Cricetulus griseus: one gene and its partners. The protein of the gene in region 1 purifies or fractionates together with the protein of each later gene. This does not show direct contact. Links are inferred from orthologs where the notes say so. Each region holds a gene or a part of one and is shown on either strand. Other genes may lie near its edges. The genes, in order: Sumo1, Mitf and Hif1a.

The links.
Region 2: the proteins of Sumo1 (region 1) and Mitf purify together in Homo sapiens (affinity purification with western blotting; 3 studies listed by BioGRID and IntAct, with this or other methods). This does not show direct contact. The link is inferred for Cricetulus griseus from reciprocal best matches to the Homo sapiens genes SUMO1 and MITF.
Region 3: the proteins of Sumo1 (region 1) and Hif1a purify together in Homo sapiens (co-immunoprecipitation; 3 studies listed by BioGRID and IntAct, with this or other methods). This does not show direct contact. The link is inferred for Cricetulus griseus from reciprocal best matches to the Homo sapiens genes SUMO1 and HIF1A.

Annotation. Positions count from the first base shown.
Region 1 is NC_048595.1:413,928,741-413,937,047, forward strand, and holds the start of Sumo1 (small ubiquitin-related modifier 1), read right to left. Parts: upstream 4,955-8,307; 5' UTR 4,810-4,954; coding exon 4,798-4,809; intron 1-4,797. UniProt on the Homo sapiens protein: Ubiquitin-like protein that can be covalently attached to proteins as a monomer or a lysine-linked polymer.
Region 2 is NC_048601.1:45,989,698-45,997,314, reverse strand, and holds part of Mitf (microphthalmia-associated transcription factor), read left to right. Parts: intron 1-5,073; coding exon 5,074-5,323; intron 5,324-7,617. UniProt on the Homo sapiens protein: Transcription factor that acts as a master regulator of melanocyte survival and differentiation as well as melanosome biogenesis.
Region 3 is NC_048598.1:129,463,031-129,470,647, forward strand, and holds part of Hif1a (hypoxia-inducible factor 1-alpha), read right to left. Parts: intron 6,221-7,617; coding exon 6,018-6,220; intron 2,753-6,017; coding exon 2,646-2,752; intron 1,139-2,645; coding exon 991-1,138; intron 1-990.

The DNA of each region.
Region 1 (8,307 bases):
AAATTTTTAAAATATACTATAAAATGGTTGTTTTAGTCTAATTGAAGTGCTTCATTATAATCAGTTTATAATACACACTAGCAACACCTCACTCAGTCAGAAAGATGACAGACTATACTGCACTGTTCTTCTAGGACATGAAATGCCTAAAGTATCCACCACTAACTAGATGTTAAAGTTAACTACTATAGTTTAATATGCTCTATGATAGGAGTGGTAAAGAAAGCTATACATTTTAAGATATAACCATTTAATATTTCCTGCAAACTCCAGCTGTTAACCAAGATCAGCAGAGACTAAGAATAAGAACCTGCTGGGTGTTGGTGGCACACGCCTTTAATCCCAGCACTCAGGAGGCAAAAGCAGGGGATCTCAGTTCCAGGCCAGCCTAGACTACAAGAGCCAGTGCCAGGATAGGCTCCAAAGGCACACAGAGAAACCCTGTCTCAACCCCCCCCCAAAAAAAAAAAATTAAGGAAAAAGAAACAAATGCTATCATGGCAACAGAAAAGAAGTCATAAGGTAGACTAAAGATAACTGCAAGTTCTTTCTTACTCCTATTGAGAAATGAGATACATCTTTCCCATTAATCTAGGCTGATCTTAGGGATTTGACTGAGTGATATAATTCAGGATCCATTTCCAAAGTTAGGTGATAGACGTTTATTTCCAACTGGGCTGATTTTTGTTTGTTTTTGTTACACTAAAGTTGCTTTTGATTATTTGATATAAAATGAAGAACAATTTTAACTAGACTGTAAGAAAAAAGGGAAAATACTGACTCAAATTACTCTTATCCCTTTGATATTTATACTTCCAGTTTTGATGAAATGTGAAATTAGGCTAAGCAAACTTCTATTAATGGTTATAGGACAATCCTCATCTTTTTTGGAGAACCATGTATCAATGCTGTCCACAATTATACTACGGAGTAATGAGATTTAAAAAAAGTATTTCAGCGGACAGTGGTGGTGGTATACACATTTAATCCCAGCACTCAGGAAGCAGCAGCAGGTGGATCTCTGAGTTCAAAGCCAGCCTGGTCTACAAAGTTCCAGGTCAGCCAGGACTACACAGAGAAAGCTGTCTTAACCAAATACAAGCCGGGCGGCAGTGGTGGCACACACCTTTAATCCCAGCACTTGGGAGGCAGAGGCAAGCGGATCTCTGTGAGTTCAAGACCAGCCTGGTCTACAAGAGCGAGTTCCAGGACAGCATCCAAAGCCACAGGGAAACCCTGTCTCGAAAACCAAAAAAAAAAAAGAAACAAAAACCAAAAAACCCACATATTTTTTATTCAAATATCAAAAATAATAATTGGGTATTCATCAGTGAAGAACCCAACAATGTAAGCTCTTTGTGCACATAATGTCCTTATTTTAAACTGAAGTTGTACAGCCGGGCATGGTTGCACACACCTGTAATCCCAGAACTTGGGAAAGTAGAACAGAAGGATCACTGCTAGCCTGGATACACAGGGAGATCATCTAAAAACTAAGAGAAAAGCAAAAACTAATTACTCAACTTTAGTATTTTAAGCACAAGATAAAGCTGCTAAGAGTTGCCTCAGAAAACAAAATGTGTACTGGAGCTGTAACACAAGGTATCCTTGTTCAAGGCAAGCACATTATCACTGACCTACACCCCCAGACAAAGAAAATACACTCTAAGGCTATCTTCTGGAGACAGTAGTTCAGTTCCATGTGTTGTTATTACACAGCAGTATTTGGGGATTCCTGTTCTCACTTATTAGCCTCTTAAAGATAAGGATTCATAGCCAGGTGTTGGTGGAGCATGCCTTTAGTCCCAGCACTGGGGAGGTAGAGGCAGGCAGATCTCTGTGAGTTCCAGACCAGCCTGGTCTACAAGAGCTAGTTCCAGAGGACAGCCTGCAAATCCACAGAGAAACCCTGTCTTGAAAAACAAAAAACTAAACAAAAGATAAGGATTCATTTAACCTTCATCTCTAAAAAATTAACACTCAATACTGAATTTATTCTGGGAACTAATAGTAATGAGGTCAATCAGCCTAGACCAATAAATTGTTCCTAAATCTAGTAACACACTCTCAATTATTTACAATCCCATCAGCCTGGCAATGGTGGCACACACTTTTTGTCCCAGCACTTGGAAGGCAGAGGCAAAAGGATCTCTGAGTTTGAGGCCAGCCTGGTCTGCAGAGCAAGTTCCAGGACAATCAGGGCTACACATAGAAACTCTGTCTTAGAAAACAAAATAAATAACCCCTAAAATGTTAGCATACTTTTTCTTCAAGTCAAAATTTCTAAAAGTAGCACTATTTCACACTCTTGCATATTGCTTTACTGTGTAGCTCAATTAAAAAGACTTGTTTTGGGCCAGGTGGTGGTGGCACTTGGGAGGCAGAAGCAGGCAAAGTGAATTCCAGGACAGGCTCCAAAGCTACAAAGAAATCTTGTCTTGAAAACAAAACAAAACAAAACAAAAGTTTGTCAGGTATTGTGATGCACATCTTTCACTCCAGCACTCAGAGGACAGAAGCAAGCAGACCTCTGTGAGTTCCAGGCCAGCCTGAACTACAGAATGAGTTCCAGGGCAGCCAAGGTTACATAGTAAGACCCTATCTCAAAAACAAAAGAAAATCCCAGCACTTGGGAGGCAGAGGCCAGCCTGGTCTACAGAGCAGAGTTCCAGAACAACCTCCAAAGCAATACAGAGAAACCCTGGGGGGGGGGGGGGGGAACAACACGGGACAAAAAAAAAAATAAACAAATCACACATGGACTAGCCAGGTATGGCATAACTCTAATCCTCCCTACTCTGCAACGATAAGTGAGGGAGGAGTATTTATTCCGAGTTCAAAGACACCTTGTGCTACAGAATGAAGTTCAAGAACAACCTAGGCAACATAGTGAGACTAAGTATAAGAGATTCGGATCTAGCTCAGTGGTATAGTGCTTGTCTGGCATGTACACATGTGAGCCCTAAGTTCAGTGCCCAGTAACAAGTACTACACCCTAGTGTGGCTTCACAGATCCCCTGAAAACAGCCTGTGTCCTAGGTTCTCTTTTCCTTTCTCCATAATCTTTTTTTTTTTTTAATAGTTTTTCAAGACAGGGTTTCTCTGTGTAGCTTTAGAGCCTTTCTCCATATTCTTAAATGATGTGAGTTCAAACTAGAGCAAAAATAATTTTAAAATTTCTAACTGTATGTTGCCCTTCATCAGGCTGACATGCCTTCTAGTTCCTTCTAAAATAAAAGACTGATGAAACTAAGCATTTACAGCTCATCTTTCCTCCCTTACTCGGAACTATCTGGAGAGATATTCATAAACGAATTTCTATCCAGATTAAACAGAATTAATCCAGATTATTTATAAACAAATCTACCCCACAATTAATCTACATTATGGATAGGCTACAAAAATAGAACCATATTATCCAGGTGGTGGGGAAGCATGCCTTTGATCCCAGCACTCAGGAAGCAAAGGCTGGGAATCTCTGAGTTTGAGGCCAGCCTGGTCTACAGAGCAGTTCCAGGTTAGCCAAGGCTACACAGAGAATCCTGTATCGAAAAACAATTAAATAAATAAATAAATAAATAAATAAGATTAAATTAAAAGAAAACAGTTCAACTACACTGTGGTGCTGAATGAAAAGTTTACTGAATAATTATCATTATAGACAAACGTCAAAAAAAATTTGAAAATTCAGTCCTCTAAGCAAACAAAAGGAAAAACAGATAAAAATCCTATGTATTAAAACTAGCCACAAACGTGGTAAACAAAAATGGGATGAAGGAAATTAAGGTGGCAGTATTCCTAATTTGAATGCCAATACCATGCAAATTCTTAACATTAATACGGAGACACAGCATTTTACTATTAATTGGCAGCTTTCTGTAAACATTCTGCAGCTGTAAATATTCAGTTTTTCTATTTTCCTCAAAAATATCACCTGGAAGAGGGTGATATGGAGGTGCATATAACCAAGATACGTCGTTTACGTGTATAAAATTGACTATGTTAAAAAAAAGTGCCATTTTTGAAAATGTAACAATCATAAGCAGGCTAATGCCCAGATGAAATAAATGGCTTGTTGGTGGTGGTACTCTAACCTAGTTTCGTTTGTTTCTCGGTTATTCTGAACTCTCCTACAACTAGAGAGTTGATGGACCAATCCCGAGTAAGAAATGGAAAGTACAGAAAAAGAGCCGACCGATCCGCACCCCCCAGATGGAAAAAAAAAAAAAAAAAAAAGACGCAGAAGGGAGCAGAGGCGGACAGGCCCTCCCGGCAAACACAACGGAAAGCAGCGTCTTCTGGGTCCCAGGAACCTCAGGCCAGGCTTCCTCTCCGCCCCCCACTCCGAGACCAAGAACCCAAAGTGGAGTGGAGCAGCTTTTCGGGGCTACCTACCCTCCCAGTCAGGGATTCCCTCCCGTTACATAACTAGGCCTGGGGCCCTGTTTCTGCCATCGGTCCTCTGAAGGGAAACGGTCGATTTCTCTTAGGTTGCTCTCGGGGACAGAGGAGCGGGCCTGGGCCCCCGGCGGACCCGCGAGAAACCTGGGAGCCGTCGAGAGAGCCGCGGCGCGGGGCAGCGGGAGGGGGGCGCGGGGAAGGCGGCGGAGGGCGGGTGTTCCCCGGAGCCCCGCGGTCCCGGGCGGCTGGGCCCGACTCGGCCGGGCGCTCCGCGTCCCTCGCGGCCCCCTCCCCAGCAGCAGCCCCCTCCCCCAGCTGCGTCCCCTCCCCCGCGCCGCGGTCCCCGGGCCCAGCCAGCGGCCGACAGCTCTGAGCCCCGATGCCCTGGCCCAGTACCTGGTCAGACATGGTGATGGTGGCTTCGCCCGGGGGTCTCCGCACCACAGCGGCCTCCGGCAGGCAGAACCTCACTCTGAGGTTTACAAATCTGTCTCTTCCCCACAGCACAACACCGCGGCTGCAGGGACTTCCGCTACGTATTGCGTCACTTCCGCTGCGCGCAAAGGAGACTTTGGGAAGACGGGAAAAGGAGGCGGGAAAACGCCTTGGGGAAAGGCCTTGGGGCGTCTGACCTGTAAAATTGCTTGCCCGGAGCAAGAGAACGACTGTGTGTTCTGCCGCTGGGAGACCCGGCCGGCTGCCTCAGCCCCCTAGGGAGACCAGGGCATCGCCACCAGGCTGAATGTTTGGGGTCAAACCGACATCCTAGACTCCTCCCTCTCGGACACCTTGCGCGCTTCTCCGAGCTAAACCAAGTTCTTTTGTCTGCTCCCAACCTTACTAACCGTCCCTAAATATAGGGAATCGCCGGTATAATATTTTTATTACCTTCTCTTGTTTGCTGCCAGCACACTCATGACCTTGATTTAGGACCACAACGAAAAGACGACCCCTTAGAACACATATTTTTTGTTTTTATTTTTGTTTTTTGAGCAACCCTGGCCGCTCTAGAACTATGTAGATCAGCCTGGCCTCGAACTCACATAGAGTCTCCTACCTCTGCCCCCAGCTCTAGGACAGTTTTAAGAGCTGTAGATGACTAAAATGTTGAAAGTTTTTAAGTTTGAAGTTATAGGCAGAAGGAGCTACCTCCAACCTATTAACTATTTGCCTTTCGTCACAGAAAGACCTAAAATTCTTTGACTACCACGACCTTCTTGCACAGGCATTAAGTGTGGATTACGGATATATAAGTAAAAAGAGTAAAATTGAAAAAATAATTGTTGTGTGTGTTTTTCCGATACAGAGTTTCTCTGTGTAGCTTTGGAGCCTGTCCTGGAACTCTGTAGACTATTCTAGACTCTGCTGCGTTAGAGGCATGTGCCACCACGCCCCCCAACCCCCGGCAAAAATGAAAATTCTAAATAAATCAATAACCTTTCACAGTATAAGACGTTAGTAAAAGAATCTTTTCGGACTGGAGAGATGGCTCAGAGGTTAAGAGCACTGACTGCTCTTCCAGAAGTCCTGAGTTCAATTCCCAGCAACCACATGGTGGCTCACCATCCCTTATGAGATCTGGTGCCCTCTTCTGGTGTGCAGATATACATGGAAGCAGAATGTTGTATACATAATAAATAAAATCTATTAAAAAAAAAAGAATCTTTTCTTAGGGGCTGGAGAGATGGCTCAGGGTTTAAGAGCACTGACTGTTCTTCCAGAGGTTCTGAGTTCAATTCCCAGCAACCACATGGTGGCTCATAACCATCTGTATTGTGATATGGTGCCCTCTTCTGGCATGCACTGTATACATGATAAATAAATAAATCTTTTAAAAAATCTAGGAAGTCTTTATTTAAAAAAAAAAAAAGAATCTTTTCTATAGTTAGTAATGAGGCGACTAGAGATGGCCCAGCGGCCAAGGAGCACTGGTTGTTCTTCCAGAGAACTCGGGTTTGATTCCCAACACCCACATACTCATTCACACCTAACCTGTAACTCCAGTCCCAGAGTACCCAATGCCTTTTTCTAGCTTTGTCAGCACCAGGCCAGGCCTCCATATACGGCATAAACATGCATGCAGATGAAAACACCCACCCATACACGTTTAAGCATTTAAAAATTAAAAATAGCAATATAATTGGTAATGAGACTACTGGAAGTTCACATGCAAAAGAAAGAATTTGAATCCCTATCTCACTGCATATACAAAATTAAAATGTTTCAAAGGTGTCTTAGGGTTTCTTTTTATTATTTTTACTATTATTAGTTAGGGTCTATTGCTGTGATGAAACACTGACAAAAAAGTAAACCGGGGAGGAAAGAGTATATTTGGCTTTTACTTCCACATCGTAGTCCATTATTGAAGGAAGCCAGGACAGGAACTCAAATAGGGTGGGAACCTTGAGGCAGGAGCTAATGCAGAGACCATTGAGGGGTACTGCTTTTGGCTTACTGGATTGCTCTCCATGGCTTGCTCAGCTTGCTCTCTTACAGAACCCAGAACCACCAGCCTAGAGATGGAACCACCCATCAATCACTACTCCAGAAAACAGAGGCATTTTCTTTTTTTGTTTATTTGGTTTGGTTTGGTTTTTTGTTGTTGCTGTTGTTTTTTTTTTTTTTTTTTTTTTTTTTGAGACAGGGTTTTTCTGTGTAGCCCTAGCTGTCCTGGAACTAACTCTGTAGACCAGGCTGGCCTCTAACTCACAGAGATCCTCCTGCTTCTGTTTCCCAAAAGATGGGATTAAAGGCATGTACCACTTCTGCCAGGCTAGAGGCATTTTCTTAATTGAGGATACCTCCTCTCAGATGACTTTAGCTCCTGTCAAGTTGATGTAAAACTATCCAGCACAAAGACCTAAAAGCAAAACTCTTAGGAGAGAATACAAACAAATCTTTATGACTTTTATTTGTTGATTATGTTTTTGGAGGCAGGGTGTTTATATTTGGCCCAGGCTGTCCTGGAACTCAGCTCTTGCTGTGTCAGCCTTCCAACTACTAGAATTTCAAGTTTCCAATACCGCACCTGTGGTGATATCTTGATTGCACAAATAAAGCCTGTCTGGGGGTCAGAGAATGGAGCTTGCCACTAGCTAACCATAGAGATCTGGAGATGTGTACAGACAGACAGGAAGTGAGGTACCTGGACAGAAACAGGGAGAAAAAGGAACTCGCTCTCTTGTCTGCTGAGACACTAAGTAGATAAGGTGTGGCCGTGGGTTGCTCCTTCTCTCTGATCTCTCAGCATTTTCCTCTATATCTGACTCTGGGTTTTTATTACTTAGACCAGTTAAGAACTCCATTTACACTCACCCAGCTTGGATTAGATAAATGATGGGTTTTTAGATATGACACCAAAAGCACAAATAACCAAAGGAAAACTGAAAATTTGGAATGTATCAAAAGTTTAACTTTTGTCATTAGTGTTCAAAACACAACAAAAAAATGACGGACAGAGCAGCCGGGCGTTGGTGGCACATGCCTTTAATCCCAGCACTCAGGAGGCAGAGGCAGGTGGATCTCTGTGAGTTCAAGGCCAGCCTGGTCTCCAGAGTGAGTGCCAGGATAGGCTCCAAAGCTACACAGAGAAACCCTGTCTCGAAAAACCAAAAAAAAAAAAAAAAGAAAGAAAAAGAAAAAGAAAGAAAAGAAAAAAAGAATGCATTTGGCACACACCTTTAGTCCCATCACTTAGGAGGGATCTCTGTGAGTTAGAAGTCAGCCTGGTCTACAGAGCTAGTTCCAGGACAGCCAGAGCTGTAACACAGAGAAAACCTAACTCAGAGAGAGAGACAGAGACACAGAGAATGTATTTTCAGCTGTTGTATTTTTAACTTTGGGGTTGCAGATAAGACCCCATTTATGGCTTTGTGCTGTAAAAGCAAAAAATAGGTATGATTTCTG
Region 2 (7,617 bases), on another chromosome or scaffold:
TTCTTGTCAATAGTTGGGTGTGAGTGAAAATCCACATTGGACAGAATGAGCAAGAATTGGAGAGTGTGGGGCTCAGGGATGGCTCCAAGGTTAAGAGTGCTTGTCAGAAGACCTGAGTTCAGTGTCTATAACGCCAAACAGGTGGCTCACAACCACCTGTAACTATCTTAGGAATCTAATGCCGTTAGCTTCCACAGGTGCTCACATGACCATGCATGTGTTCACATACACACACACACAACACACACACACAGAGAGAGAGAGACAGACAGAGAGAGAGAGAGAGAGACAGAGAGAGAGAGAGAGAGAGAGAGAGAGAATTAAAACATGAAAAAAATGGAGTGTGTGTTCTAGTGGAAGCTTCATTTGAAGAACAGAAACTTAAGTGTGGCGTTTCACCTCTTTTGTATACTTCCAGTGGTCTGCCTCAGAGGGGAGTTCCTGTAAAAGTCCCAGGCATCAAGAGTGTGTCAACCCCTAGTGGTGTCTGTGCAAAATGGAGATAAGTTATGGTGATAAAATGAGGAAATAGCAAAGTTCACATGTTGGCTTATGACGTCTCTTTTTGTTTTTAATTTTTTAATTAAATTTTTTCATGTAATATTTTTGATCATATTCTTTCTTCGCTCTCAGATCCTCCCCCTCCCTATCTACACAACTTCTGTTCCTTCTCTTAAAAAGAAACCCTAAGTCAAAATAAACAAAATAGCATACACACACACACACACACACACACACACACACACACACACACACACACACACACACACACACACACACACACACACACCCCCAGAGAGTCCATTTTGAGTTGGCCTTCTACTTCTGGGCATCCAGCCTTCCATGGAGTGTGGTTGATATACCCAGTGTCACTCAACTGGAGAAAACAGATTTTCCCTTCCCTGGAAACTACCAATTGCAATAGCTTCTTGATCAGCCATGGGGCTTTGCACCTACATCCCCTTCTGCATGCTGGGACTTTTGTCTGGTTTGAACTTATGTGGATTTCTATTACAGTCTCTGTGAGTTCATGTGTGCATCAGCCCTGTTGTATCTGGAAAATACTATTTTCCTGCAGTTGTCCACCACCTCTGTCTGTTAAAATCTTTTTGCCCTTCTGAATAGATCCTTTAGCCTTGAAGGGAGGACTGAGTACCAGTTCGGTTTCTTCATATTTAATGACATAAGAATATAATGCCCTTGACAATAAGGTCTTACTGTCAGGTTGTGGCGTATAACTGATTTGATTAGCAATAGAGATTGGGTAGATAGTTAAGTACCAGGGAGAAAGAGTTGACACTTCTTCCAAAGAAGAAGAAATAGAATATAGTGGTATAAAGGAATAAAGAGTAAATTAGAATAGGAAGTACAACTCCATTCCACTTTGTGGCCTCCTCCTTGACTAGCATGGAGGAAGTCTCACGCTCAGGGAATTTGTTTGGCCAGTGTCAGCAAATGCACTTGCAGCCATGCCTATGGGATTTTCTTTCTGAGAAGAGTAATATACACTTTTCCATGCAGAACTAGATCAGAATCCAGAAGTCTAGACAATTGACTTCTTCTGAAGGCATCTGTGAGAATTAGTGTGGCCAGGGCTTTCACTGTGGGGTTAGAAGCCAGGTGTCCCTAGCACCTGGTAGTCATTATTTGTTGAATCAATGAACTTCACGTAATCGGGTTAAAAGGAATCATACTCATGGAATTAGGATTATCTAGCTAGAGCTGAGGTTTGTAGGCTCAACAATGAGCCCAGTTAGCTATTAAAATTAGATACACTCCGGTATCTCTGGATATATGTTGTTAGTGGCTCTGTCAGGAAGCCCCCCTTCTTAAAAGTAGCCATTCCAGCCACTTGGAATATTCATTAGCTAAGCTTTCATTCCTTACTAACCCTTTCATAAACTCACAAACCATGCTCTCTTGTTCTGTGAGTGGATTATATTCTAGTTGTGTCTGTCTTTGTCTACGAGGTTATAATTGTGGATTTAGTTGTTTCTAAGATAAGTGGACACTCAAAAGATGGCAAGCCAAAGCTGAGAATCTGGTAGTCATGTCCCACAATGTGGAAATATCCTACAGGGCATGTGTATGTAGTGAAATAACCCCAATGCTTCCTACCTCCTTTAGAAGCCTTGTTAAAATGTCAGTTGGCTGAGTTTTATTCTATTTTCTATAAATGTAAACTATGTTTACTATTGTTTCTTTCATAAGGTTCCCCATATCCGTATCGTCCTATTGAACAGGTCTGTATTGTTTCTTTCCTGATAGACTATTATAGAAGCTACTTTAAATGGTTTTGTTATTGAGGTTAAAGTATGAAGCCTTAGTGGGTTGCTCACTAATAATTTTAATTTGTCTCTGGGATGCTTTATTGTTAATTGAAAGGATTCCCCTCCCCTGGTATTGCAGCCAGTGGGTTGTCTTGTGCAGTTAATTAGCACGATTATGCCACAGCTCCATTTGCACCCACACAAAGGTTGGCTCTTGTTTTTATCAAAAGGATCATTCTCTCTGAGAATGCTTGTACCTGACAGGCTTTGAATAGCCAGACCACTTGTTTCTTTTTAAATAGCCACCTCCCATCTTTTCTTGGCTTAGGAAAGTACATTTGAGCTTTGAAGACGCACTCCAAAGTGGGAAATACATTTTCTTCGGATGCTCTTTTTGGCAGTGAATAGATGATTTTAGATGAACAGACCGACGAATGGTTGGGGAGCTTTTTGGTTGTGTGGAGGAATGTACAATGTTAAGATAATAAGCAAAGTGTAGATGCCACTCTCTCGGTGTTCTGTGTATTTATAGGGAATGCAAGAGAAACAGCAGAAGAAAGATGTTTTATGTGTGGGGCTGTTGAAGACACCCAGAAGAGCTGATACCCTGGATTAGGACACTGTAATCCCTTCTTGTAGTTGAAATATTGTCTGATAGATCAAGTCACCTTTCTTCTAGCCTAGTGGTGATGCTGATCCCCTGTCATTTTGCCACTTTCTGTAGTGTCTAGTGCATATATATTGCCACTGAAAAAAATACTTTAGTTTTATTGTAGCTTAAAGGAGAAAAGTTAAAAGACAATTGATTTTCCTGAGTTGATCCTCACTCAAGCAAATGTTGTTGTCCTACACATTCCCTGCTAGGCACTTTGTGCACTTACACACACATGCTGGGCTTACTCTGCATCAGCCTGTAAATGCATATTGGAATCCAAATTTGTGACTTATGCTTACTGCATGCATATCCTACTTTGCTGTTCCGTTTGCATTTTTAAAGAAATAAGGTACTATGTTGCTGAATTCATGTCATAATTTACTTAATTAGCTATGGTCTCATTTGAAGGGAAAATTAGGTGACTCCGGATATTTTTGAAATCTTTAAAAGCCTTTATATTTGTGAATTCTTCCACTTTTGAGTTCTTTCAACAATTACATGTCAAGGAACTTTCTGAAACAAAATGAATAATTTATTTTTAGCTTTTAGATGTAATTTTCATAAAGGATAATAGTAATACACTATCATTATGCTTTTCTTGTCATGAACATGGTTTGCTTTTTAATTGGATACTACCTAGAATGATATTTTTCACCTGGATTTAAAAACTATTGTATAATTTTATTCATATCAGCAGATTTGTTTTTATGGCATTTTAGTGAATGCATGATATTACATTTTATGAATTATTATAATTTACTGACTTTCTGTATGGAAAATAAGCTTCTGGGCTGTTTAGGGGACTACGTGATAGTGTGACACAAATCTTTGTCCTGCAGCACACCTGTTACTTGTCCTTTGGTTATTCACAGAGGTAGCCAGGGGCTTCAGGACTTTTGTCTGTGGTAGGAAGGTAAACACAGTGTGGGGTTTGTGCTCAAGAGGCAAGTTAAGTTTAGATGCCATTCCTAAAGTGTGATGGATGCAAATATTCATATTTTTCTCTTTCCAGAAGCCAAAATATTGTTTTATAAGGTTGCATAGAGATTTGAATAATTATAATTAAGTTTGATTCCTATACTGGATGATAATAATTGCAAGCATAAACATATAGCAGGGCAATGATCATTGTAGGTGGGGATTATGGGCACTGCTGTATTTAACTCTCACAACACCAGTAAGTCCTTAGGAGGGAAGGCTTTTGATACAAGTGGTACAGTACAGTGGTACAGATACTTAAAGAATATAAGCCCACTTTAATAAATAGCGAAAATGCGGTATACAGCTCTTCCAGGTATGGAAAACCAGGCAGAAAGAGGTTAATTATCTGTGCATATCACAGAATTGGCAAGATAAGCAACCCAAAGCCTCACCTAGGGAAAATAGGAACTCTTTTTTTTTCTCACCTTCCTCGCATTTAAGCATGTTAGATAATAGTGAACAGAATGAGTCCCTGACCTTTAGAAGTAGACCTCATGGAGAAAGCACAGAACACTGATGCCGTGGACATGCCCAGATGAGTCAGTCACAAGGAAAGACACACAAAGAAAACTAGGAGGAAAAGAGTTGGGTTGTCAGTGCAGCTTCTCTTCTGTCCCTTGCTCAAAACAGGGGTGGAGTGCAGTATCAATGTCTGGTTCAGATGCTTCTTCATTAATGATTTGTTTCATTTGTTGTCTTCAAAAATCTTTCCTGTAACAGTGTTTCCTTCCTAGCAACCATATTAGACATCTTCAAGGAATTTAGATAACATGTAGGAGTCCTTGGTTACTTAGACTTAGCTATTTAAGACAGCAAGTCAAGTAATTTGTTTTTAACTGTGGAGACTTGGGTGCCATTGAGATGGATGGCTTCTAGTTGCTGCATATGGTGGTGTTTTATTCAGTGGTGTGTGGCATAAATGTCAAAAAGAAATAAGTGATTTGGTAAAAATACCTAGACGCAATCAGCCTGACTTGTTTAATTCAACTCCTAATGACTAGAATCCTGTCACCTCTTGATTTTCAATTACATGGAGTGCCGTGCCTTGCCTTGATTATATCTGTGCAGACTCACCTCCCAGTTTGGTGGCATTTAGGATATCCCGCGATGCAGGTGATGGGTCTCATCAGGATACTAAATGGTGTGTGCCTTCTGGTTTCCCCACAGCAGTTCCGCAGAGCATCCTGGGGCCTCCAAGCCTCCATTAAGCTCCTCCAGTATGACATCACGCATCTTGCTACGCCAGCAACTCATGCGTGAGCAGATGCAGGAGCAGGAGCGCAGGGAACAGCAGCAGAAGCTGCAGGCAGCCCAGTTCATGCAACAGAGAGTGCCTGTGAGTCAGACACCAGCCATAAACGTCAGCGTGCCCACCACCCTTCCCTCTGCCACCCAGGTGCCGATGGAAGTCCTCAAGGTATGTGAGTGTTGCCCCTGTGTTTGGACTGAGCCTGTCCCTTTTCCAGCCCTATGTGTCATATTCGCTGGACTGTGACTTTGCTTGTTTTGGTATTAGATTCTTATTTATAAGCATCATGCCCAGTGGTTCCTATGAGGCTTTGTCTTTTAAAAGAAGGATTTGGACTAACTGTATAGGTTATAGCAACCCGTGAATGGTGGAAATGTTTTCATGACCAATCCCAAATGGGATCTGCTGTTTTCTATAATGAGCAACATTTCTCAGTCTTGTTTTTGGAAATGGTTTCAAGCGTAAGAGTTATCTGAAAGAGGCCTCTTCTAGAAACTTGTGTGTATGTTTTCACAAATGCTTTCCGGGGCCACACTTTAACTTTGCTCTTCAGTTAGCAAATCCTGCTGACCCTAAGAGCTAATTGTTTCAGAAAGTCTTTTCAGAAAGAAGACTGTGGTCAAGCACTGTCTGTGCCTTAACAACCAGACCTCATAATCCTTTTACTGAAGTGAGCTGTCTGCTTTGGGTCTCTTTGATATCTTGCTAGAGTGGAAACTGCAGGAGCTTGTTAACGTCCTTCCATCAGGGACACATAGCTTCCTAATTATGAGAGGAAGTTGTAGCCGCTCTGACCATAGACCTCCGTCTCCCACATTGTCCTCCCTGCCACATGGGGAGTTGCCTTGCTTCATAAACATTTCAATTTGTAAATACGACTGGTTCCAGAAAATCTAGAAGTGGGGAAGCCTCCTTGTTTTTCATTTATTATTATTATTATTTTACCCATCCGCCTAATTGATTGATTGTGAAGAGCCAAGTGTTCCTGTTCAGTAAGCAATGTGAACTCCTCAACCTGCACATGCATTGTCAGTCTTTGCTTTACCCTTGTGCTTAGAAAAAAGAAAATCCATCCATCTCCCCCTACTTAAAGTTTATTCTTAAAGTGAACAGGAGTGATGTGCTACACACAGGCTCCTTCAGGAATTCTTTAACAATGACTTTAAAGTCGCACACATATATTTACAAAGACTTTCAAATTTAAGGATACCATTATGGAACCCTTAGGTAGAGAAACCAGTTGAAATTTTGCTAATAAAGCAAAAATGATGCAACTGGTTTCCGCATAAAATTTTACTTTAACATGACTGAAATTCTGAGCAATGCCACAATTATGACTCTTAGTCTTCTATCACCCTATCAAGCAAAAGCATCTTTTTGCCATAGAATGAACTATATATGGACTCTCTCTGTTCTGCCTGAGTAGAACTTGAGAGTCCCCATTTGATTATTGTTTCCTGTTTGCGAGAGTCATGATCATTCTGTTTATACTTTATCTAAGCAGCATGACCTCTATAATCACAATGCAGAAACATGTATCTGTTTTATTCACTATAATCTTAAGATTTTTTTAACTGAAAAGCAAATTTTAGAGGTGGTGACATGGATTTGAGCATAGTGGTTTACATCCAGATAGAAGGTAATGTTTAATGTTATATTGTAGTATTTAAATTGAAATAGATTTTCCTATTAGAGTGGTTATATGGGGTGGTGGATAAATTACCATAAAATAAATGTGTAGGAACATCATTTCAATATTATCCTAAAGTTTGCTTAATTCTTAAATGTTTAAAATATTTTCTAGCCTTATTACAATTAACATGTAAATTAAACAACTTAATAATTTATGCATTTTCCCTTATACTCTGTTTATTCTGGTAACACTGGATTGAACTGTAGTCCCCCCACAACTAAAGAATACCAGAAAAATGCCCCAAGTTAAAGCAAAAATAAATTATTAGAGCTAAAAGACAGGACCCAATCAAATTAAATTATTGTCTATCATACTCAACAGTCATTACCTCTACTTTAACTTTAGAGTGTTTCTCCTTTGGCTATGTAAGAGTCAAGTGTGTCCCATAAAGGAGAAGGACTTGTTGGGCTAACATCCTGTGGGGAGCTAGTAGCTGTTCAGATCAGTTTTGCTGCTTCTAAGGACCAAATGTAAACAGGATTTCATTCATCTGAGGCAATATTGTAAAACATTCAAACATAAATGTTAAGGCAAGTTTCCGTTGGTGATTCCTTGAGAAATGTAAGACTTCATGCTTTATAAAAATAGTTTCATAAGCTTAGTGTATGAAAATACCATGAAATGCTTCATAGAAATGCAACCAGCAGTGCTCTCTCCCTTTTTCTTTTGTTCCTTTTAAATCATACAACACAGTTTCATGAAGTGGCTATAGAGAAACAGTTGATTTGTTTGATCTGGAAAAATTTTCGTGAATTTGTATCTTCAAAAC
Region 3 (7,617 bases), on another chromosome or scaffold:
TATGAAACCAACTAAGAATACAAAGACTGATGTATACAACCCTTGCCTTCAAGTAGTTTATATCCAATGTGAAATGGATAAGATCACAATACACTGTGATCACTCCTAAGATGGGGAAAGGATGTTTCATAGAAAGGTGAACAAGCTGGAATTTGGGCTCAAGTAACAATCATGAGGCAGACTGGGAGAGGAAGAATAGTTTTATATAAAGGCAAAAAAACCACAAAAGAACTCTTTAAACTAAGATGATTCTTTGGGCTTAGAAGTGGTAAGGCATGGAGTTTGATCCTAGCATCAAAAATATCCCCCCAAAGAAACAATAGAAACTAGAAGTTGTAAGAACAAAAACAATGGCCCAAAGTCTTCACAAGACAGGTGACCTGGATTTTGGTAGCATCCGTGAAAGTTATGCTGGAGAATGCTGGCACAGCCCTGCAAACCTACATAGGGCAGCTGAAAATTCAAGGCTGGTCTGGTCTACAGTGAGTTCTAGGCCAGCCAAGCCTACTCACAGTGAGACAGGAAAAAAGAAGGGGAAGGGTATGGAACATAGGAAAATGAGCTATCCACATTAGAGAACTCTGCCTGGCAATTAAATTAGAATGTTTTGGTCATGTGAAGAGTGACTAAATGGGGCACAGCTTGCTGAAATAACTTATAGCATTCATGACTGTAACAAAAGCCCTGTGTCACAACACACAGCCTGTCACAGTGCCCTCCTACAAGACAGCCATTTAACTTTCACAGAATCTTTTGGCCCCAGGATAGCAGCTGCTTAAAACACAACTACCAGGAAAACAGATCCACAGACTGATTAAAAAAAAAAAATGATACTCTTTTGTGGATCACTGGAATAGCTGGTTTGGAAAGTTGGGCCAGAGTATAAATCATAATCCAGTAGAAGAAGTAAAAATAAAACTCAGTTTTTATCATTTTATATCTTCTTAATAAAGGCACATAAATGTAGAAAGTGTCTCTTCACAATCTTACCTCACAACGTAGTTCACACACACAATGCACTGTGGCTGAGAGTTCTTTGTATTATATATGACAGTTGCTTGAGTTTCAACCCAGACATATCCACCTCTTTTGGCAAGCATCCTGTACTGTCCTGTGGTGACTTGTCCTTTAGTAAACACTAGGGATAATAAAGGATTGCAAAGAAAACAACTCAATTTTCAATAAAAAAAAAAAGTGATGAATGTAGACTGTTGGGTTTTGTTTTTTGCTTTTTTTTTTTCCAGGCCAGGGTCTCTCTATGTAGCCTTGGCTGTCCTGAAACTCCTTATGTAGACCAGGTTGGCCTCACACCCAGAGATCTGCCTGCCTCTGCCTCCCCAGTGCTGGGGGTAAAGGCTGGTGCTGCTGTGCTTGACTGAACCATTGCTGTTGGTTTGTTTGTTTGTTTCAAGGGAGATATACTTAAATAAATAGTTGTGACTGTTTAAAATGAGAAAGGCCAAACATACCTAAAAACAAACCCCAAAGAAATTTCCTATCTTAAGCCAGGAGTGAAGGACAAGGTGTCTGCAGTTTCTTTAATGACTTATGGTGAAAGTGTCAGACTAGAGACTGATCACAGGGTACATTTAAGAAAATGGAGCTGGGTAGTGGTGGTGCACCTCTTTAGTCTCAGCACTCAGGAGGCAGAGGCAAGCAGATCTCTGTGAGTTCGAGGCCAGCCTGGTCTACAAAGCTACATAGAAACCCTGTCTCAAAAATAAAAAAAGGGGCTGGCCAGGTGGCTCTGTGGTTAAAAGCACTGGCTGTTCTTCCAGAAGTCCTGAGTTCAATTCCCAGCACCTACATGGCAGTTTACAACTGTCTATAACTCCAGTTCCAGGAGATCTCACATCAATGCACATAAAATAGTTAAATAAATTCTTTTTAAGAAAAAAAAAAAGAAAGAAAATGGTACCAGTTTTTTTAAGCACCAGAGAACCAATCACTGTAAAAAATTATACTCAGAACATTTGAATATATAAGTTCATGTCATACTATAGCCTTCTGTCAATTCATGCAGTCTAAATTAATTACTGACTTAAGAGAATGTAGTAAATCAATCATGATGATGCCGTTGTGAGTATCCATGCTCTGACTACAACTTAGGCATACTCTGTAGTTCAAGGCAAATTACACTAATTCAATGATACTCAACTCAGTACCCTCAATCATATTGGGAAGTCATGTTTAGGTCCAGATTAAATAGGCAAGTGAGGAATTATGAAGTTTAACTTAGTTTGGTATCATAGATTTATTTGAGTAAAATTCAGAAACCTCCTATATGTCAAGGGTGTCAGTTATCACATGTGTATACTAATCCTACTCACTAGTTCATGAACAAATGCTTTGTGACTACCTCCTATTGACCAACCACTGATTTCAGTACATATGTACGTAGGCTAGATAATCTATAATATTTGACTTTTATGGGATACTTTATGTATTTATTATTAAATGACTTTACTTTTTGCTAATATTTGTAACAAAACAATAATTTCATTATCAAGACATCTTATGAAGGGGCTGTAGGATGCTTGTCTAAGGAGACTGGGTGGTAATTTTAACTAGAAAGTAGAGGTACAGTACAGACTGCAGGACTTAAGCAATGACACTATTTCCTTGAGTTCCTCTACTGTACTTACTGTCATGATGAGTTTTGGTCAGATGATCAGAGTCCAAAGCATGATAATATTCATAAATTGAGCGTCCCAAAAGTTCTTCTGGCTCATAACCCATCAACTCAGTAATTCTGTTTAAAAAAAAAAAAGATTATCTTTTGCTTAATAAGTTTAGAACTCACACTTAACTATTCTATACTTTGGCTGGGCAGTGGATTCCTTTAATCCCAGCACTCTGGAAGCAGAAACAGGTGGATCTCTGTGAACTTGAGGCCAGCCTGGTTTACTGACAGAGTTCCTGGACATCAGGGCTATACAGAGATACCCTGTCTCAGAAAACAAACAAAAAACCAAACAACAAAACCAAAAAACACCCCATCCCCCCCCCCCCCCCCCGGCAAAACAAACCAAACAAAAAAACCCCAAATTCTGTACTTAGTATAAAGTCACTTAGATCAGTCCCTGATATCTGACTTATCCCTTTTACCCAAACTCATGACCTATTTTTTAAAACACATTTCATTATACACACTGTTGGTATCAAAGCAGGGTATATTAGTAAATCTTAATGATGCTAAATGAAATGACAAAAGTTCCAAAGACAGTCACAATTATCTTAAAATACAGTATAAATCTATAGCAGTTTATTTTTCATTCAGTGAAAATCTTTACCCTATTTTTAGGCCTGTGGCAAGGCCTCACTTTAATATCAACTATAAAATTTCACTATTAAGCCAAGGACATCCATACTAAATGGAAAGTAAATATTAATTTTCTAAAATTAAGAGGATTTCACATGAAAGAACGGCATCTAAAAGAAAAAGGGCTGAAAACGGATTCAGGGAGCCTCCTGGTCCCTGGGTATCAGCCTGGAAACCATGAGGACCCATTTTATGAGAAAGACAAGTCTGTCCTCGTCACATTAAACCAATTACAAACATTTTTCACTGAAGTCTTTCTGGGAACAAACATGAACCAAGTGTTGACACTTCTCAGTTTAGATTCCAGAGGACTTAAAAAAAGCCAACAAACAAAAAAACCAAGGTGCAGGTAAAAGATACTCATATGTCTAAAAAGCAAACACCTAATTACAGAATGGGCATAAGGAAGGTATCTTTGTTCATAACAGTATGTTAAATAATATAGCTTAGCTGTTACAGTTTAAGATCTGCCATTTACTCTAAAACCAACAAAGCAGATTTATTGAAGCATAAATCAAACTTTGACTCTTCAAAAAGGGATAACCAAAATACACCAACACTAGATGGCAGCATTACAAAGATAAATAAAATATACTTTAAAAATATGTGTTTTCTCCTTCATCCCAGAATGGTAGTAGGGATTAAATCTAGAGCAGTGATTCTCAACCTTCCTACTGCTGAGACTCTCTAACACAATCCCTCATGTTGTGGTGACCCCCAATCATAAAATTATTTTCATTGTTACTTTATAACTAATTTTGCTACTGTTCTGAATCATAATGTAAACATCTGTGTTTTCCAATGGTCTTGGGCCCCCTGTGAAAGGGCCTGTCAACTGTCAAAAGGGACATGACTCACTGGTTGAGAACCCTGATATGGGGGCTCACAATGCTAGACAAAGGTCCTCCCTACCCCATCTTGGTGCTGGTGATTTGGAGCTGGTGATTTGTACTAGTTTTCAGTTTTAAATGTTTGCTAAGAATTTCTTGCTCTATACCACCTCAGAATCAAGACACAGAAAAAAATTTGCCCAATTTTAAGAAAACCTTTACATCACATTTCTAGCATCCAGGACCATTAAAATGGGCCATCAGGTAAGGCACCTGCTACCAAACTTGGCAGCGTGAATTCAGTTTCTGGAACCCACGTGGTGGAAGGTGAGAATGAACTCCCACAAACTGTCCTCTGTCCTCTACCTTTGTGCTGTGACCCACATGAACCCACATACATGCACTCACACATGCTACCGCTGAGTGTGGAGGTGCATCTAGCCCTAAAAATTATTTGAATTGCTCTTACATAGTTTTACACACGTAAATAAAATTCCAACATAATGAAATACTTTTTAATTAAACATTCATGTTTCTGGTGTAATTCTAGACATGAAAACACAATGAGAAAACCTAACCTGTGGGCAATCTTCTGGTAAATAACTTGCTTGTCATTTTATTATATTTAGATTTAATTGCACACTTTTTCTTTCTTTCTTTTTTTTGAGACACAGACAGACTACAAAGTCCTGACTAGACTGGAGTCCGTATGTAGTCCAGGCTGGCTTTGAACTTTTGGTGACTTCCCTGTCTCAGCCTCCCAAGTGTTTTGAGATCACAGACATAAACCACCACATCCAGAATGTACAGCATCTTTTGATAAATAAAAATCTTCCCATCTACAATCCTACAAGAAACAACTGATGCATTTCTAATAAGAAATTGGCATAATCTGATCATTACCTTGGGAAGCCCTCTTTGGGCACAATGGGTGTAAGAGTAAAAGGGCACAGATCTGTTGGTAGAAATGAAGCTCACAAGTTTGTGGGAACAACTCAGGCCAAAGGTAATGAAGTAAAGAATTCATGACAGGAGCACAAAGGTAGATAGAACAATGAGGAGAGACAGTTGAATGAACAATGCATTTACAATACTTAGAGACCAACTAAGTGTAATGTGTGGTAAAAGTTAGAGTCAACAGTGCTATGTCAACAACACTAGGCATCACAAGAGGAGTAGCAATCTGTCATGCTGCTGTTTGGGAACAGCAGTGGTTCAGTTCAGGAACACAAGTATTTACTTCATTATACAGAAAACGATCTAGACAGGAATATCAAGTTGGCAGTTACACACAAGTAGTAACAGATTTGGGAAATGGGGACAGGAACTGTGGGTGGAGTTGAAGGTGCTCAAGGAGAACATATAGGTTAAAGACCAAAATTTTGTTGCCTACTCTATATAAGCTTTAGGTCTTTGAAATTTACATTCTCAAGATTCCCTAAAGCAAAAGAACGTCATGATTTTTGTGGTTGTTTCAATACCTTTTGAATGCTTGGACAAGTGATCCATCTGACCTACATCCCTATCCTGAAACATATTTTTGTGAGACAGCTTACTTTCAACTCCCTTTCCTCCTGCCCATCTCCCAGTTGCTGAGATTACAGGAGTGTGCCACCAGATCCATCTGAGAATCTCATCTTAATAGATTTGCAGAACACCTGGCAGAATATTTATAGTACACAGTCAATGTTTAATAGATGCATGAATTTACAAAGCTAATCTTATGTTTTTTTTGTGTTCCAGGATGCATCTTTATATTTAATTTCATGAACACATGCAGTGTACCATTAAGTTTTTACTACAGTGAGTGTAAAAAGGCTACAGAGAAATTTAAAATTTAAAAGTATAAAATAGAATTAATTTACCTTTCATCACAGTAAGAAAATTTCATATCCAGGCTGTGTCGACTGAGAAAAGTCTTGCTATCTAAAGGAATTTCAATATTTGATGGATGAGGAATGGGTTCACAAATCAGCACCAAGCATGTCATGGGCGGTTTCTTGTACCCACACTGAGGTTGGTTACTGTTGGTATCATATACATGAATATGGCCTGTGCAGTGAAGCACCTGTGCATGAGCAAGAAAACAAGCAGTTATCTTTTTTTTTTTTTTTAAAGGGGCAAAAAGAAATATAGGTCAGTAATTGAGTTTGACCTGACAAACTTTGATAGATGTGTATCTTTGAAAATAAAAAAAAAAAAAGTTTTTCCCATGACACCATCTACAATCTAATCTATGTATTACAGTTATTTTAAAGTAAGTAGGGGTAGGGGAAGAGCTGGAGAGCTGGCTTGGCAGTTAAGATGTAAGATATTTAGGTATTTTTTTTAAAGAACATTTTGAGGGTGGGGTTCTGGAGAGATGAGTTAGTGGTTAAGAGTACTTACTACTTTCCCAGAGGACCAAGATGTGATTCCTAGCACCCACATGGCAGCTCACAACCACCTGTAATTCTAGTTCCAGAGGATCTGATGCCTTTTCATTTCTTCAGGCACCAAGCATGTATGTATATTATGCACATAAAATAAAAACTAGGAATCACTTATAATACATAATATGGATCTAATGTCCTCTTCGGGCCTCTGCAAGCATTTGGTACACTTACATACATCCAAGTAAAACACACACACACACACACACACACACACACACACACACACACACACACACCCCACATGTGCACACGTGTGCACACACATGCATGCAAAACAAAAATAATAAATGAGTCTTTTTTTTAAAAGTCCCCTTGTGTAAATCTGGGCTGTCTTCTTCACCCATCTTATTATTATAGTTGATTTTGCTGTGTTGATTATGGTTCAGTATTGAACAAGGAAATGAAACAGTGATGAGGAGAAAAATTAAACTAAAACAGGATTTAAATACTAGTTGCCAAAGCCAACTGACTATGTTAGCTTGGTATTGAAATACCACATTTCCCATAATTTAAGTTTATATCTCAAACTGGTAAGTTACGTCATTGTTTTGAATGGAGATTACATAGACTTGGATGCAAGTGCAAATATGCAAAAAGGGAACAATTATAATTTCCCCCTTATAATTCTTTTTTAAAATTTATTTTTATTAGTAAAAGTAAAGGCGCACGCCTTTAATCCCAGCACTCGGGAGGCAGAGGCAGGCGGATCTCTGTGAGTTCAAGGCCAGCCTGGTCTCCAAAGTGCCAGGATAGGCTTCAAAGCTACACAGAGAAACCCTGTCTCCAAAAAAAATAAAAATAAAAAATAAAAAATAAAAAATTTACTTTTATTTTATGTGTGTAGTGTTCTGCCTGCATGTATGTATGTGCACTGTGTGTGTACCCGGTGCCTAAAGAAGAGGCCAGAAAAGGATACCGGATCTCCTAGAATTGGAGTTACAGATGATTGTGAGCTGACACATGGATGCTGAGAACCAAACCCAGGTCCTTGACAAGTAAGTGCTCTTAACCACTAAGCCATTTCTCCAGC